Linked DNA regions of Notamacropus eugenii. The protein of the gene in region 1 interacts with the protein of each later gene in a pairwise test. Links are inferred from orthologs where the notes say so. Each region holds a gene or a part of one and is shown on either strand. Other genes may lie near its edges.

Evidence for each region. The genes of interacting proteins can lie anywhere in the genome.
Region 2: the proteins of PRKAB2 (region 1) and TASOR2 interact in binary tests that used the Homo sapiens proteins (3 or more experiments, as listed by UniProt). The link is inferred for Notamacropus eugenii from reciprocal best matches to the Homo sapiens genes PRKAB2 and TASOR2.

What each region holds. Positions count from the first base shown.
Region 1 is NC_092873.1:301,712,130-301,720,222, reverse strand, and holds the start of PRKAB2 (5'-AMP-activated protein kinase subunit beta-2), read right to left. Parts: upstream 3,113-8,093; 5' UTR 2,754-3,112; coding exon 2,592-2,753; intron 1-2,591. UniProt on the Homo sapiens protein: Non-catalytic subunit of AMP-activated protein kinase (AMPK), an energy sensor protein kinase that plays a key role in regulating cellular energy metabolism.
Region 2 is NC_092874.1:209,470,205-209,477,704, reverse strand, and holds the start of TASOR2 (protein TASOR 2), read right to left. Parts: upstream 3,077-7,500; 5' UTR 2,426-3,076; coding exon 2,338-2,425; intron 1-2,337.

The DNA.
Region 1 (8,093 bases):
GCCCAGGAAAAGAAGGCCCTGAGCAACAAACATCTGAGATAGTTCCTTCGTTCCTCTCCAGGATGTCCTCCTGACCCTCTTTGGGTTAGCACAGTGCTTGGCCCATAGTAAGCAATCAATGCTTGTTGACTTGAGCAGACAAGTGGTCATCTACACTCTGCTGGAGGATCTATTAAAGGAAAATCCATTTCCTCCTACAGCCAAGGAATCCATTTATGGACAGCTCTCCTGGTTGTATAGTTTTTCTTTACAATGACTTGTCAACTCCTTCCCTATAATTGCCACACGCAATACCCAGTTTATTGTCCTGGGGCCAAGAAGAACTAATCTAATCCACTTTTTCACATGACTGCCCATGAGAATACCTGAAAGCAGCTATCACATCTCCATTAAAGTTTTCTCTTCTTCAGGCTGAAACATCCTCCTGGTCCTCAACCAATCATCATCTTCAGGGCATGCCTACAGTCCTTTTGGACATTCTCCAGCTTCCTAAGATCAAAGATTCAGGGCTAGGAGGGATCTTAGAGTTATCAAGTCCAACTCCCAGATTTTACAGACAAGGAAATTAAGGCACAGAGAAACCAAGTGATTTATTTGTCCAGGGTCATACTTAAGTAGATGGGATTTGAACCAGGTCTACACGGGTCTAATGTAACTACATAAGCCCTTTCCACTACACCACGGTGTCTCCTCAATGGCCTTCCTAAACTGTGAATTTGAACTGAATACAACATGTACAATCCCCCACTCCAGCCCCAAATTATGAGTGAATTATTTTCCTAGGCCAGAGGTGGGGAACCTGTGGCCTCAAGGCCACATGTGGCCCTCTAGATCCTCAAGTGCAGACCTTTGATTGAATCCAAGCTTCACAAAACAAATCTCTTTAAAGGATTAAATGATTAAAAGAATTTGTTCTGTGAAATTTGGGTTTAGTCAAAGTTCTACACTTGAGGATCTAGAAGGCCACATGTTCCCCACCCCTCTTTGGGCTATGTAATACTGTTCTCATATTGAATTTGTGGTTCAGTAAAACCCTCAGGTGTTTTTCAAATAAAAAAGTCAACATTCCTCTCAGAGCTTCTACTTGTCAAGTAAGTCACTGTAGAAGGATCCCAAGAGTAACCTTTATATCTGGCCTTCTAGGAGACCCTAGCCCCTTTTCCTCCACCCTCTGGTTTTCAGAAGATCAACAAACTTGTATGAGGGGAGGAGAACAGAATCACATTTTACTTTTCACTAACCTCTACCTGAAATTCAGCATTTCCTTCAGTTATTTAAAAATATTAATTCAGGCAAGAGATCCATAGACTTGCTTGGCAAAGAGGTTCATGACACACACAAAAACAAGAATCCCTGATTTAGACAGGCAGTTCCAATTGATGCATAGTTTTCCCTTGCAATCCTGTCAGTGACCCAGGCTTCCAAATCACTTAGCTCTTCACTTCCACTCAGCCCACACATCCATCCAATCTGGAGCTAAGCCTGCTTGTTTCTACCTTAGCATCAACACTCCTGTACTTGACCTTCTCTCCTTCAACAATCACCACCTGGCTCATCAACTCATGCCTGGACTATTTCAACAACGTGCTGGCTGCTCTCCCTACTATTTCCCCCTAAATCTGCAGCCAAAGCAACCTTTCTAAAGCCCTCCTCTACTTAGTAAATAAAGTACTCTTCTTCTCACTGAAAGAAAAGACTATCCAACAAGTAGATCAATTAAAAAAAAAATTAACACTCCCTATTACTTCCAGGATATGTATGTATATGTGTGTAATATATATTATGTGTGTGTGTGTATATACACACACACACACACACACACACATATACACACACACACAAATACATGTGTGTTCCTGTTTGGCTTTTAAACCCCTCCACAGCCTAGTCCTCCCTACCTTTCCAGTCTTCTTACACTTCTCTCCCTTCCACCCATTCTCTGATCTACTGACACTGGCTCCTTGCTGTTCCTCGAACAAGATACTCCCATTATTCTGACCTGGCTGTCCAATAGTCTTTTCTACCACCTGGCTTCCTTTAAGATTCAGGTCAAAACCCACCTTTTGCAAAAAAGCCTTCCCCCCCCCCCCCCCCCCCCCGGCAAGACATCCCTTTCACTTTTTATATCTTGTCCATACATAGCTGAGGGCACGTTCTCTTCCACTAGAATGGATGCTCCTTGAGGCCAAGGCCTGCTTTGGGATTCCAGGATGGTCCCTGCGCGCTTGGCTTAAGAGAGCCGGCTGAGCCTCCCTCATCTGCCCCGCTGCACTAGCCGGTCAGTCCATTTTCCACCACGGATAACTCTTCAGACCCTAGAAAACGGCTCCCACAGAAGCCTTGGCAAACACCAAGGCCGAGCACACCGCGAGAGGGCAGCGCGCCCAGGCGTTCTGCTGCAACTGACCAGACTAGAAACTTACCAGTCTAGAGAAACTGACCAGACTAGAGAAACTGAGCAGACTAGAGAAACTGACCAGACTAGAGAAACTGAGCAGACTAGAGAAACTGAGCAGCCTCCCAGGCACACCGCCCGGGGAGGGGAGCTGAGCGGGGTCGGAACCCTGCCCTCCGCCGCGAGCGCCGCGCACCTTGGAGTCGGGTACGCTGAAGACGCTCGGGTCGTCCGTGCTGCCCACCATAATCTTGTGCGGGTGCTCTTTGCCGTGCGCCTGGCCACCGGCGCCATCGGCGCGGTGGGACTTGGAGCCGTGGCGTTCCCCTGGCACTCGCTCGCTCGTGGTATTGCCCATGGCGGCTCGGAGGTCCCCAGCAGGGGGGGGATGGGTTTGTCCTCCTCCGCCGCTCGTTCTTGGGCCTCCTCAGGGCACCACCCCCTCCTTCTTCGGGGAAGACGGCGAGCAGGAGCCCGGGATCCCCTGCCTTCCTCCCACTGCTCTCCGAGAGTTCCCCGGGACAGCCACCCCCCACCAAAGATGCAGCCCCATTCGTCTGGGCAGCGGAGCGCCCTCCTCCCGGGAGGGGGTGGGGCGGGAAGGCGGCCGCACGCGTGCGCAGAGGTGGTTGCGCCCGGCCTGTGGGCTCAATAAAGTTATTGAAACGGAAGGGCTGACGATTCGCGTTTCCTCCTAAAATGGCGAGGAAGCCGCCGGGTCCTCCTCGGCCCTCCCCCACGCGTGCCTCTCTAGGCGGGCGGGCTTGTTCTCAATGGTAGTGGAGGTGCCTCGGTGGGCGTGGTCCTAGGGGTGGAGCCCGCGGAGGGGAGGGGCCGCCTCTCTGCTCCCCAGCCTCACAGTCTAAGTGTGAAGCCCGGTGAGGTCGTAGGGTCCAGCCCGCCCCTTGGACAGAGGGAGAAGCTGAGGACCTGGGGGAGGGGGACGTCGGTGGCAGTTATGTTATGTGTCCCATTTTTAAAAATAATTCAAACTATATCTTGTGAACTACTGCTACTTTTTTTTGTTAATTACTTCCCAATTACATTTTAAAACATTTTCAGCATTCATTTTTTAAAAAAATACTGAATTCCAAATTCTCTCCCTTCTATCACTTTAAGAAGGTAAAGAATATGGTACTGATCCTAAGTATGAAATCAAACAAAACATTTGCATATTAGCCATGTTGCAAAAAGTTAACAACGACAAAAACCAAGAAACAAATTTTAAAAGTCTGCTTTAATCTGCACTCGGTTCATCAGTTCTCCCTGGAGATGAAGAGTATTTTTCACAATTTGGAATTGTCTTAGATCATTGTACTGCCATTCTCAGCTAAGTACTTCATGGCTGCTCCTCATGCAGTCTTCCTGTTACTGTATATGATGTTCTCCTGGTTCTGCTGACTTCGCTCTTAGGCAGTATCTCTCGTTAATTTTTTTTTGTTTGCTTATTAAAAATTCTGATCAGACGGTGAAGAGTTAGCAGTGTGTGCACAGACAGCTAACTGAGGAATAGCTCCCACTTTAATAATAAGCTTTCTTGCCTACTGAAATGCACAGTTTCATTCTTTACTATGTTTATGGGGCTCTCCATATGCTGCACACAACAATTCTGAAGGAAGAGTTCATGATACAGAAGCTTGTGGCTTCTGTCAAATCTACAAGTCTTTGGACTTTTTCAGTTCTTTCTTCTGAACCACAGTGGGCCATGTACATCTCTCCTTTCTCACCTTTTTTCCAGCTTTACATTAATCAAGTAGCAGAGTGAATGTTGATTTTAATTCAAAGACAGGACAAGGTGAGATATATAGGGTCAAGTATGGTTTTAAAGAAAGAATTGAGGAAATCCAGAGAATTGTGGTTTGTCTTTCATTCTCCAAAAGCACCATGACATCAGGTAGATGATAACATGACTTGAAGTTTACTTTGATTTGAGTGAGAGAGTGCTGAGAAAAGTCACCAGCCTCACTTTCTTCTCCAGAGCCATCTGGGTGCAGTGACCGGATAACAATTCAGACAACTAGAGATGACCCAGCCCAAAGACTCTGCGATGAACTCTTGCCTCAAAATTGGTGGGTGCAGGATATGATGAGCACCAAATAACAGTAAAAAAATGAAAGTGTCTACATTTCAAAAGGCAAGACAACTTAGAAAAGGTTCTTATAAGCTCTTCAGGGGAAAAAATGACAACATTGCCATAATTTCATCCAGAAGTTAAACCAATGTAAATTAATTCCTACACAGAGAATGAAGGACTCCAGAAAAATGCCTTGCTCATCGAATGCTCATTTGATTTGCCAGAGAAATATCTGCCAAAGACAATACCAGGCTAGAATATGAACTCTATAAAAATGTTATAAAGAAGAATTATAAATGATTATGAGGAATACCTTCTCATAAAGCAGTGAAAAGCAAGAGAGGCTCAAAGGAGTTAAAAGAAAGCGTGGCAAGATAGCCAACTAAACAAAGTCATCCCGATAGCATTCAAGGATGCAAATGAAAAGAAGATTAGAAATAAAAAAAACTAGAAATGATTTACCAAAAAGTCATTTCAACAGACCTCTAAACCTAGTGGAATCACTGTATTTCAACCCTAAAATCATAGTCCCTGAGGTAGAAATAGCACTAAGAAAACAAAACATAGGAAAAGCAGCAGGGTTTGATCAAGTATGTATAGAAATCTGTTCTGGAGATTATACAATTCTGAAGACATTAAGGGATTGATGTACAAAGTATCTGCAGGAGGAAAAGTTAACCAAAAGTGCAGAAAGAAATGTTGATGGAGAAAATGTCAGGGACCACTAACTAACTCATGTAGCTTCCCTCCTAACTATATATTAAATTTTAAGATGATCAGTAGCATGAATTGAGGTTGTCCTTGAGGGTGATACTAATAGGGAATAAGCAGACTTTCTATAGCAATATTCAACAATGTGCACAATTGACAACAATATCAAAATGGAGTGAAATATGTAGAATATAAGATCCCAGTGTGCTCATTGTTGGAGATAATGAGGTGGCTCAGCAGACAGAGCACTGGAGCTGGAGTCTGTGTCTGACCTGGTGTCTGACCCCTCCTCATTCCCCTTTTCTGTTCCCTTCTTTTTTCTCTTTGGGCTGGCTCATTCATATAACCTGTCATCATACTGGTAGGTCAGGGGTTCCAGAGTGAGTGTGCATGCTGCTATAACTGAAATCAGATATGAACTATGTGACCCTGGGCAAGCCATCTAACATCTGTCTGCCTCAGCTTCCTCGTCTGTAAAATGGGGGTAATAATAGCACCTACATCCATTTGTAAAGCACTTTGCAAACCTTAAAACACCATATAAATTCTAACTATAATTATTATTGCTGATTATGAAAAGTACTTGGTTCAGTAAAACAGGCTCTTTTTACAAGATGTTTCCCATCCATCCATCAAGATCTTTCAGGATCCCTTGGAAGAGGTAACAACAGAAATTACTGTTTGGGGACCCTTTGGAAATTGGCATCAGATGAGGCATCAGAGATGCTTGCTGTCCAAAAATATTTGTTGTTGTAATAGAGATCTAGCACGGAGTCCAAGCTGAGGAGGGTAAAATCCTCCACAAGTTCCTATTTGCAGATGCTATTTTATTGATTTAATCAATCCCCAAAACATTGCAGAGCCTCCTGAAAGATTTTTAATCACTCAAAGGAATTTGATCTGTCTATCCATATAGGGAAGACCAAACGGATGAAAATGTCTATTGCCTAGAGTTTCAACATGCATCTGAATGAACATCCTATAGATTTTTTCAACAACACACACACACACACACACACACACACACACACACACACACACACACACACATCAAATGGTCCAAATGGGCCAACTTGGGCCCTGAGTTGAAAAGGAAGAGACCACGCTGGAAGACTTTCCAGAAGCTGTAAAACTTTTACTGAGCCCAAACTTCCCATGAGAGTTTTCCCCTCTTCACCCGAACATGGGGCGGGGGGAGGAGTAGCCAACAAATCCCCAGTTCTTTGAGCATGTACAATATATGCTTCCTGATGCCAATCCACTTGGATACTTGGTGAGCCTGTTTCTAGAAATGTGTGAGGATAGTGCTTTTTCCCAGGTCATATGCAGGGTTTTTTTTTTTTTTAAAGACTCATGAACAAAACTCTCTCTTCCTGTCAGCATTCAGTGAAAAGGAGGAAATGCTGTGAGCCTTTAAGGAAAAGTAGCACAGGAACAGGTACACTACCTCTCCACCCAGCCACCACATGACCATGAATTTATTGCACAGTGGATTGGGGTTTTGGGGGGCGGGATTTGTCTTTTTTTGTCTATTTCCTTATCTTAGGTGAGTAAGTGTCAGAGGCAGAACAGAACAGATTATGACCTAGGGAGCTTTAAGTGGTTGGAAGAACACCAGAAATCTGATGCCTGGTTTCCATATGTGCTATAAGAAGACACAACCCCTCAGGGTTACTGATACAGTCCTGAAGGGAGAAGAAGTCATTGCTTTCTGGGGACCCAACCTGCCTGTTGGAGTGGGAGTTAGGAGAGTGAATCCATATATTTAAGCCACACTTGTTATTTTATTGGAGGAAATCTTTTCTATAACTACATCAAAAACTTTAAATCTTAAGAGAAAATAGTCTAGTCATTAGTAAACTTTTGTGCAGATTACCTTTGATAAAGGGCATTAAAAGCCCTAAGTTCAGAGTTATAAATTGCTGCAGACCCAGGCATTCCTAGGGAGGAGATGTACCTCCCTGCTGTCTTTCTGTAAGTTTGTGTCTACTCTCCTCCCTCTACGGATACATGTATATTGAACTTAGAATGTGCCCTCACTTTGCCTTCTGTTTAGCAAAAGTTTCTGAGTAAATTGAGCTCATTTTCTCTGATTTGTTAAGTGGGAAGTATATCAGCATGGGATTGAGTCTCTTTTATAAGTAGTATAAATCTAGCTCCTGTACCGTAGGGTGTCCACAAAGACCCTCAGAGAGTGAGTTGTAGCAGTGTGAACACTCTGGAACCCCTGACCTACAAGGGCAGCCAGCTCAAAGAGAAAAAAGAAGGGAACAGGAAAGGGGAATGGGGAGGGGTCAGACACCAAATCCACTGCACTATAAAAGGATTGGAAAAATATCAGGAAGATAGAATAATCCAGAACACAGCTATTAAAAAAGTCTGAGTTGCTGTGAAGAGAACACCTGTCATAGAACCCATATCCAGGTAAAGCTGACATCAGGCTTTTGCTGAAACAATGTACATGAAGTTAGGCTGTCAAAGGGAAGCAAGAGACCCAGGTGCAGCAGGAAGGAGTTATATATAGCCTGAGGGAAGAAACAAAACTTTAAACGCACAGAACTAGAAACCCATGGTCACCTAGGGCACTGGTGTCCAAAGTGGAGTGTGCACACCCTTCGGGTACAAAAGAGTACTGGGCACCAATGTGCTGGAAGAAAACAACTGTTGTTTCTATTTTGCTTTTTTTAAACAAAGAAATTAAGCTTTTCTAAAAGAAATGTGTAGATTGAAACTGATGCCCTCATTAATCCCATATGTTGGACAATTGTGGGCCATATGCCATGGGTCATCCAGAGGAAAGAGAACGCCTCAGTGCAGAGACATTAACACTGTAACAACCCTCACTCATTATTTGCTTTCAGAGCAATATTATGCATAGAAGTTTATGTGCCTGGTTAAGTGGGTTTATGGAAT
Region 2 (7,500 bases), on another chromosome or scaffold:
GCAATGATGGTCCCAGAGAACAGATAACAAAACATACCTCTTCCCTCTTGGCAGAGAAGTGGGGGACTACTAGAACAGTATATTGTACAGATTGTCAGATGTAGTCACAGTATTGGATGCTTTTTTGCATAATTGTTCTTTCTTTTTCACAAGAGAAAAGTTCAATCTGGAGAAGGGAGTTGAAATAACTCTGATGTAAAGACAAAAGGCATCAATAAAATGCATTTTTAATTAAAAGACTTAATGAAGTGAACTGTCGAGTATGTGTCCAATACCTGACAATATTTGCTTGAACAACATTTGTTCAATACGTAGAATGTCAAGAATAATGGGTACTAGAGATTTTATTGTTGACACCCACTTCCCTTAATTTGAAAATCATCAAAAATTTACCAGGCTCAAATACATGCATAATGCAAATTATCAAAACATTAATTTTAGTTAATAACAATAGCTAGCAATTTGTACTGTACTTTAAAGTCTGCAAAGCAGTGTACATGTTATCTCATTTGATAAATGCATTATTATAATAAATTATTACTACTCACATTAATATAGCAAATCTTAAAATCTTGATAACAACCCTCAGAGGTAATACAAGTATTGCTATCCCCATTTACAGATAAAGAAACTGAGGTTAGGAGAGCTAAGTGACTATACCAGGATTACATAGCCAAATAAAAACCTGAGTCAACTGGTCTCCTAAACCCAAATCCAAGTGGGCCTAAAGTCATAATTTCAGCAAACCATATGTAAAGTATGCCTATACTAAGATGACACTGCAGAGTGAGGGGACTGGAAAGAAGGAAGGAAGGAATGGGGAGAAGGGAGAAGAATGACCTGCCTCTGTAAGTTTACCATATATAATTTACAAAAAATGTGTTTCTACATATCAAAAAAATGGTAGTCAAATTAAGTTATTTTTTAAATTAGCAAAATGTAGTCATTGTGGAAAATCTATGAAATATCCATATTATTTCATATACTCAGATATTCATGTATCTATGAAATATCCATGTTATTTCTACTGATAAAGAACTTTTTCCTTCTAATCCTCCTTTAGAAAATTATGCTTAAGAAATAAAACGAAGCTCTGTTCCAGGCTCTCCAGATAAAAAACTATGAAATGCCAATCCCAAAAGGAAATGTTTGCTCTACATAAACGATCAAAAACCAAAACAAAATTCATACTCCCTTTTAAGTTTAATGATAGGAATGGTCACTAAGTATATCTTGCAATACTTACAGGATGCAGAGCATCCTGAATTGGAGGAAGCTCATTATCAAAGTCTCTCTCATTTACTAAGATGAAATGATTAAAAGGAAGCTATACCTCACACACTCCTCCACAAGAGCAAGGATGTATTCATCTGACTTTTCTACCGCCTTGCCCCACCGCCAGGTGCTTAAAGGCAGCAGGGCCACACCTAGTGCTGGGCCTGGAATTGGGAAGACCCTAGTTCAAATACAGAATCCAAACCCTTACTAGATAAATTACCCTAGGCATAGTCATTTAACCTCTCCAAGAATCAGTTTCCAAATCTGTAAAATGAGAGTAACCTCAACTGTAAAACAGCACCTACCTGTTGTGAGGTCATCAAGTTGGTTAACATTGAATAATGCATGATGCTTTCCGTTGGCTCCCTAGTGTGTTGGCTGAGTTAAAGTGAATATGTAAGATAACGGGCAAATGTTGTCATCCTGCCTAATCTTGTCATCTGACACTACTACTGACCTTTTTTCCCTCTGCAACCTTCGAAAACAATCCAAATAATTAAGTTACACAGGTGTAAGACCAAGTCTCATCCTGTATCTTGTGAAAAGCAAAAAAAAAAAACCAAAACCAGCCTCTGATTCAGAATGGTTTACAATCATAAGTTCAACGCTCATCCTAAGACTTAAAGTTGAAGGGGCCTTTAGAGGCCATTTAATCCGAACTCAATTTACAGATGAGAAAACGGAGGCCCAAAGGGGTTACAGGACTTGGCCAAGGTCACACGAGAAGGCCGGACTTGAGCCCATACCCAAACCTTCCATCTGTTTTGCTCTTCTCAAGGAACCACGTTTTCCCTCCGTAACAATCCAATCACAAAGAAACCAAACCAAAGCCACTCCTCTGAAAGGGCCGGGCAGGTTAACCTAGGCAGCACACGGTAACACAAAACCTGTCCTGAGTTCTCTTTAATCCACAAAACCCCCCAACCACCAACGAGAAGAGCCCCCGTCCGGCGTCGGCAGGCAGGTTTCTCCTCCGTCCAGCCTCTTCGCACCCTGGGACCTCTCCTCCACCTGACATACGGGGCACTCAGCGGCACCCACACCTGCTCGGGTTCTCACCTGTCTCAGGTGCTGTTACTGCCACTGCCGAGGTCCCCATAGTCTCCAGGTCATTGTTCATTTCCTCTCTCGGGCTGTTAGGTTTCATTACTTCCTTCCTAACATGCGCACGCCGGGTCTCGTGGCTGAAGGAGCTTTCTCTCCACTAGAGGATGGCTTTCATCTCCACAGAAACCAGGAGCTCCACGCGGCTCTCCGTTTGCTCCGAGTCTTCGCTTTTGTTCCTAAGGCTTCATGGGCCTCGCTTCCCGCACGCGTCTCCCCTCGGCGCTGGGCCCGGCCCCAGCAGCACTAACCCCGCGGGCCCTTACTCCCCTCGCGTCCTCTGTCCAAGGGCGCCCGGAGCGGAAGGTGGGGGTGGGGCGGCGAGAAGCCAGAGGAGCTGGGGAGTTTCAGCACCTGGGCTGAGTCGTGGCTGCCGAGCGATCCCCGCAGTCCGGAGGACTGAAGATTCCAAAAAGGAGTCTATGCCAAGTCGGCCCTAAGAGTGGGGGGAGGGGGTGGCCAGGAGACGGTTCTAGAGGATCCCTCGTTCTGGAGAGGGAAGAAGAAGGCAAACCCTTTCTTCTACCTAGCCAAAGGAAACATGTCGACCGCCTTTGGGAGGGTTGGCTTGGGCGCCACTGAGCAACCGGAAGTGAAACCTTCCAGACCGGGAGCGAGAAAAAAAAGAAAGTGAAAACTGAACTATGGCGTCACGAGTGGGCGGGCAACCCAGGGCAACGCCGCGCTCCCCGACGCAGGGCGGGGCCCCCCTCGGCGTCCGGGCGCCGCGTCCTCAGTCGCCAAACCGACCCTCAGTCCCTTATCTCGCCCTGCGAGTGCCCCTCTACGCGCCGATTTCCCTCCCGTCTGACCCCACCCCCACCCCCCGGCAGCATGGGGCAGGCGTGGCCTCGGGGCTCGGCCCCTGAGGATGGGAGGAGGAAGAGGGAAAGGGAGAGACAAAAGGAAGGGAGGCGGAAGCGGAAGTACACTGCAAGGAAAAGGAAGGCCCGGAGGTGGGAGAGTTGCCAGGAAACCAAGCCCCCCAAAAGAGCCTCTTTGTAGAGGGATTTCTCCCTACCCTCCCGGCCCGCTCGGGGCTGGCGGAACCCACCTTGGCTTCGTTGGAATCTAGCATCCCAGTTTCCTTATAAAGTAACGAGAAGTGTGTGTGTCAGGTATTAAAAGCCTGGCCCCAGCACGGTGGGTCGCGTGGGGGACGCAAAAGAAGCCAACCTTAAGGTGCCCCCTCTTTAGGTGCTTCCACAGTTTTGAGGCCTGTAAACTTTTCACCACATACATACGTGTGTACAAAAATAATTTTTGAGCGCCTAGAGGGGAGCATTCTAAGCCCATCATAGATGCATTTTTAATTCATCGTTCATACTGCGACCCCGGCATAAGCTTGGCTTACTTCTCTAGTCCCATACACGAAAACATCTTTGTAAGACAGTCAATGACAAAGATTTTTTACATTCCTACACACGCAGGTAGAAATGACAGTCGTCCCCAAACATGGAGTTACGCAGATCCAATAAACATGAACCAATGTTTGTAGAGGTTCTGCTTGTTAAAAACCCAACCCCCAAGTCTGGTCTTGGTACTCACCATGGCCTTGCCCAATGCGAAGGCAATAAAGAAAACAAAAAGGAAAAAATATCTTATCTTAGATGTCAACCTGGTCAATACGGAATTTACTAGGTAGAGCATGTGGGCCTTTCCCTTCAGGGCCTTAACAACCAGGGAGAGAAATTATTATTTTCTATTATATTGATAACCAATTATTAAATTAGGATGAAGGCTTTTTCTATTTTCTCATTCAGAGAACAGCCCCTCCAAGTCAGTCTCAGAAGGGCATAATTCTCTAGTAAAGTAAGCTTTGTTCTTGGGAGGGAACCCACCCAACTAGGAGACTTTATTTCTGTTTAAAATGTAAACAGAATCTAAGGGAGGTGAATTCCAGCCTCCAGGCATTAAGCCCCAGGTCGTGTACCTCTCCATTGAAGTCTGGCGTAATCCAGGTCATGAAAGTGAAAACCAACCTGAGACGTCTGGGTAGATAGAGATGGTTTCCTTTGTCAGATGGCTGGAGGCAGCGGAGTCTCGAGATCAAACCTCTTTCTCAGCAAGAGGAGCTGAAGGCTTTTGCCCCACCTCCTCATTTGAAAACCCCACCCCCTTATTAGTTATTCACCAATCAGGTTTGACTTTTACCTGTCAAGGGTACCCACTTCTCTAAAAGTATATTAAGGCATTGAATATCTCCATCTTTGGTTACCGCGGACCATCGATTTATTAGCAGCTAGCCTAATTAATACATTGATTATTAATTACCCAGAAACACTGGCTTTTGGGTTTTTCATTCATCTTACTGGGGAACTACATGGTACCGTGGACAGCATGTTGGACTTAGAATCAAGGAAAACTGAGTTCAAATCTAGTCTCAGACAGTAGAAGTTGTGACCCTGTGCGAGTTCCTTGATCTCTGCATGCCTGTAAAATAGCACCTACCTCCCAAGTCTGCTGTGAGGATAAAATGAGATAAAATTTATAAAGTACTTTGTAAACCCTATGGTATGATATAAATGCCATTCTTCTTATTACTCTCAAATGAAATACCAAATCATCCTTAGTGAAATTTCAGGGTATCTAGTCCTGGGTGGAGAGTATCTCCAATGGGTCCCTGCAAATGTGAAGGGATTCAAAATTATCCTAGATAAAGCCATTATGTATATGGTAGGGATTACCGACATGGAAAGATTTTAGGGGAGCAGTTCCTTCCTTATGGTGAATCCTTTGTCCTTTGTAAAGGAATTTATGACTTCAGATAATATAGATCTCTCTGTTTTTTATTCATCTTGGATTGTCTTAGAAAGCTGTCATATCAACTGGATTTAGAGTTTGTGGGAAGTGACCATTGCTCAGCCACACTTTCTTCTGGGAGGTGGGGATGGGGAAGGAGGGATGCCTACAGGCATCTCCTAGTCTTGTAGAGAATTAGCCCTCTCAAACCTCTGTTACTACAAATAATATCAAAACAAAATAAAATTAGTGGCCACTAATACATTTTGATATTTTCAATTACATGTAAAAACAATTTTTAATATTTGTTTCTTTAAAATTTTGAATTCCAAATTCTCTCCTTTCTTCCTCCATCTCTCCTCTCTCTGAGATGGCAAGCAATTTAAAATAGGTTAAAATAGGTTGCAATCAGGCAAAACATATTTCCACATTGGTCATGTTGTGAAAGAAGACACAAACCCTCCCTCCAAAAAACATGAAAAAAAACAAAGTGAAAAATAGAATACTTCAATCTGTATTCAGACTCCATCAGTTTTTTCTCTGGAAGGTGGATAGCATTTTTCACCATGAGTCCTTTGAAATTGTCTTGGATCATTGTATTTCTAAGAATACCTAGGTCATTCACAGTTGATCATCATAATATTACTGCTACTGTGTAGAATATTCTCCTAGTTCTATTCACTTCACTTTGCATCAGTTCATGTAAGTCTTTCCAGTTTTTCTGAAAGCATCCTTTTTTATCATTTCTTATAGCACAATAGAATTCCATTATAATCATATACCACAATTTATTCAGTCATTCTCCATTGATAGGCATCCCCTCAATTTTCAATTCCTTGCCACTGCAAAAAGAGCTGCTATAAATTTTTTTTGTATGAATGGGCACTTTTTCTTTTTGTTTTGATCTCTTTGGGATACAGACCAGTAGTGGTATTGCAGGGTCAAAGGATATACATAGATTTATAGCCATTTGAGCATAGTTCCAAATTGAATGGTTGAATGAGTCCACAATTTCACCAGCAAGGATTAGTGTTTCAGTTTTCCCGCATCTCCCCTCAAATTTATCATTTTCCTTTTCTGTCATATTAGCCAATCTGATAGGTGTGAGATGGTATCTCAGAGTTGCTTTAATTATTATTTCTCTAATCAATAGTTATTCAGAATATTTTTTCATATGACTATACATAGCTTTGATTTCTTTGTCTGAAAACTGCCTGTTCCTACCCTTTGACCACTTGTGCTAGATGTACAAGTGGATGTACTAGAGCAGGCCTGCACAACATACAGTCTGTGGGCCACTTACAGTCCACTAAAGAATTTTGGTCAGCCTGCAAAAAATGTAGGGTTGCCATGTGTACTCTCCTGTTTGTTATGTGACCCATGGTAAATAGCCATCATCACTCTGTCTCTAGTCTAACCTATCTGTGGCCCAAAGAAATTTAGCCTATTTTAATTTTGGCCCCTACCTACTTGCCAAGTTGTGGAGGTCTGTTCTAGAGCCAGCTGTAACCAGCTTGTGAGAGATTCCTTCTAATCTTGGCTGTATTGGTTTTCTTTGCACAAAACTTTTGAAATTTAATATAATAAAAATCATCCATTTTATGTCTTGTAATGTTTGGTCATAAATTCTTCCGGTGTCCATCGATCTGATAACATATTTTATAGAACACTAAAATAAACAATGACAAAGTAAGAGACAGAAATTTGAGGGGCAAAGAGGGGCTCATTGTCAGTATATGATAACTGAACCCAAAAGTCTGCTGTATAAACTGGGGTTTACCTCTATTAACTCCTCATAGAGAAGTAAAGAAAAACCCTGGAGGAGCAAGGCAATTGATGGTTCAGTCATAGGATGATACCTGAAAGGACTTATTTTGAATGTTTGTCATATGGTGGCAGTTTAAAACCACACAGAAAAGTCAAAGAAATTTAATAAATGTTTCAAATAGTTATGAACTTCAATCTACTTATTGTCTTCTTCCTGGAACTTCCCTGCTACTTTATTAATTTAGGGGCAAAGGACCTAAAATAATTCCAAAGAACTCATGATGGAAAATGCCATCCACATACAGACAAAGAACTATGGAGTTGGAATGCAGAGTGAAGCAGACTATTGTCTGTTTTGTTTTGTTTTCTTTCTCATGGTTTCTCCTATTTGTTATAATTCTTCTATGCAACATGACTAATGTGAAAATGTGTTGAATAGGAATGTATGTGTAGAGCCCATATCAGATTGCATGCCATCTTGGGGAGGGAGGGGGAGAAAATTAAAAAACTTATGGAAGTGCATGTTGAAAACTAAAAATTAATTAATTGAAAAAAATTTAGGGGCATTCAATATTGCCAGTTTTTTCAAATGCTCCATGAATACTTGCA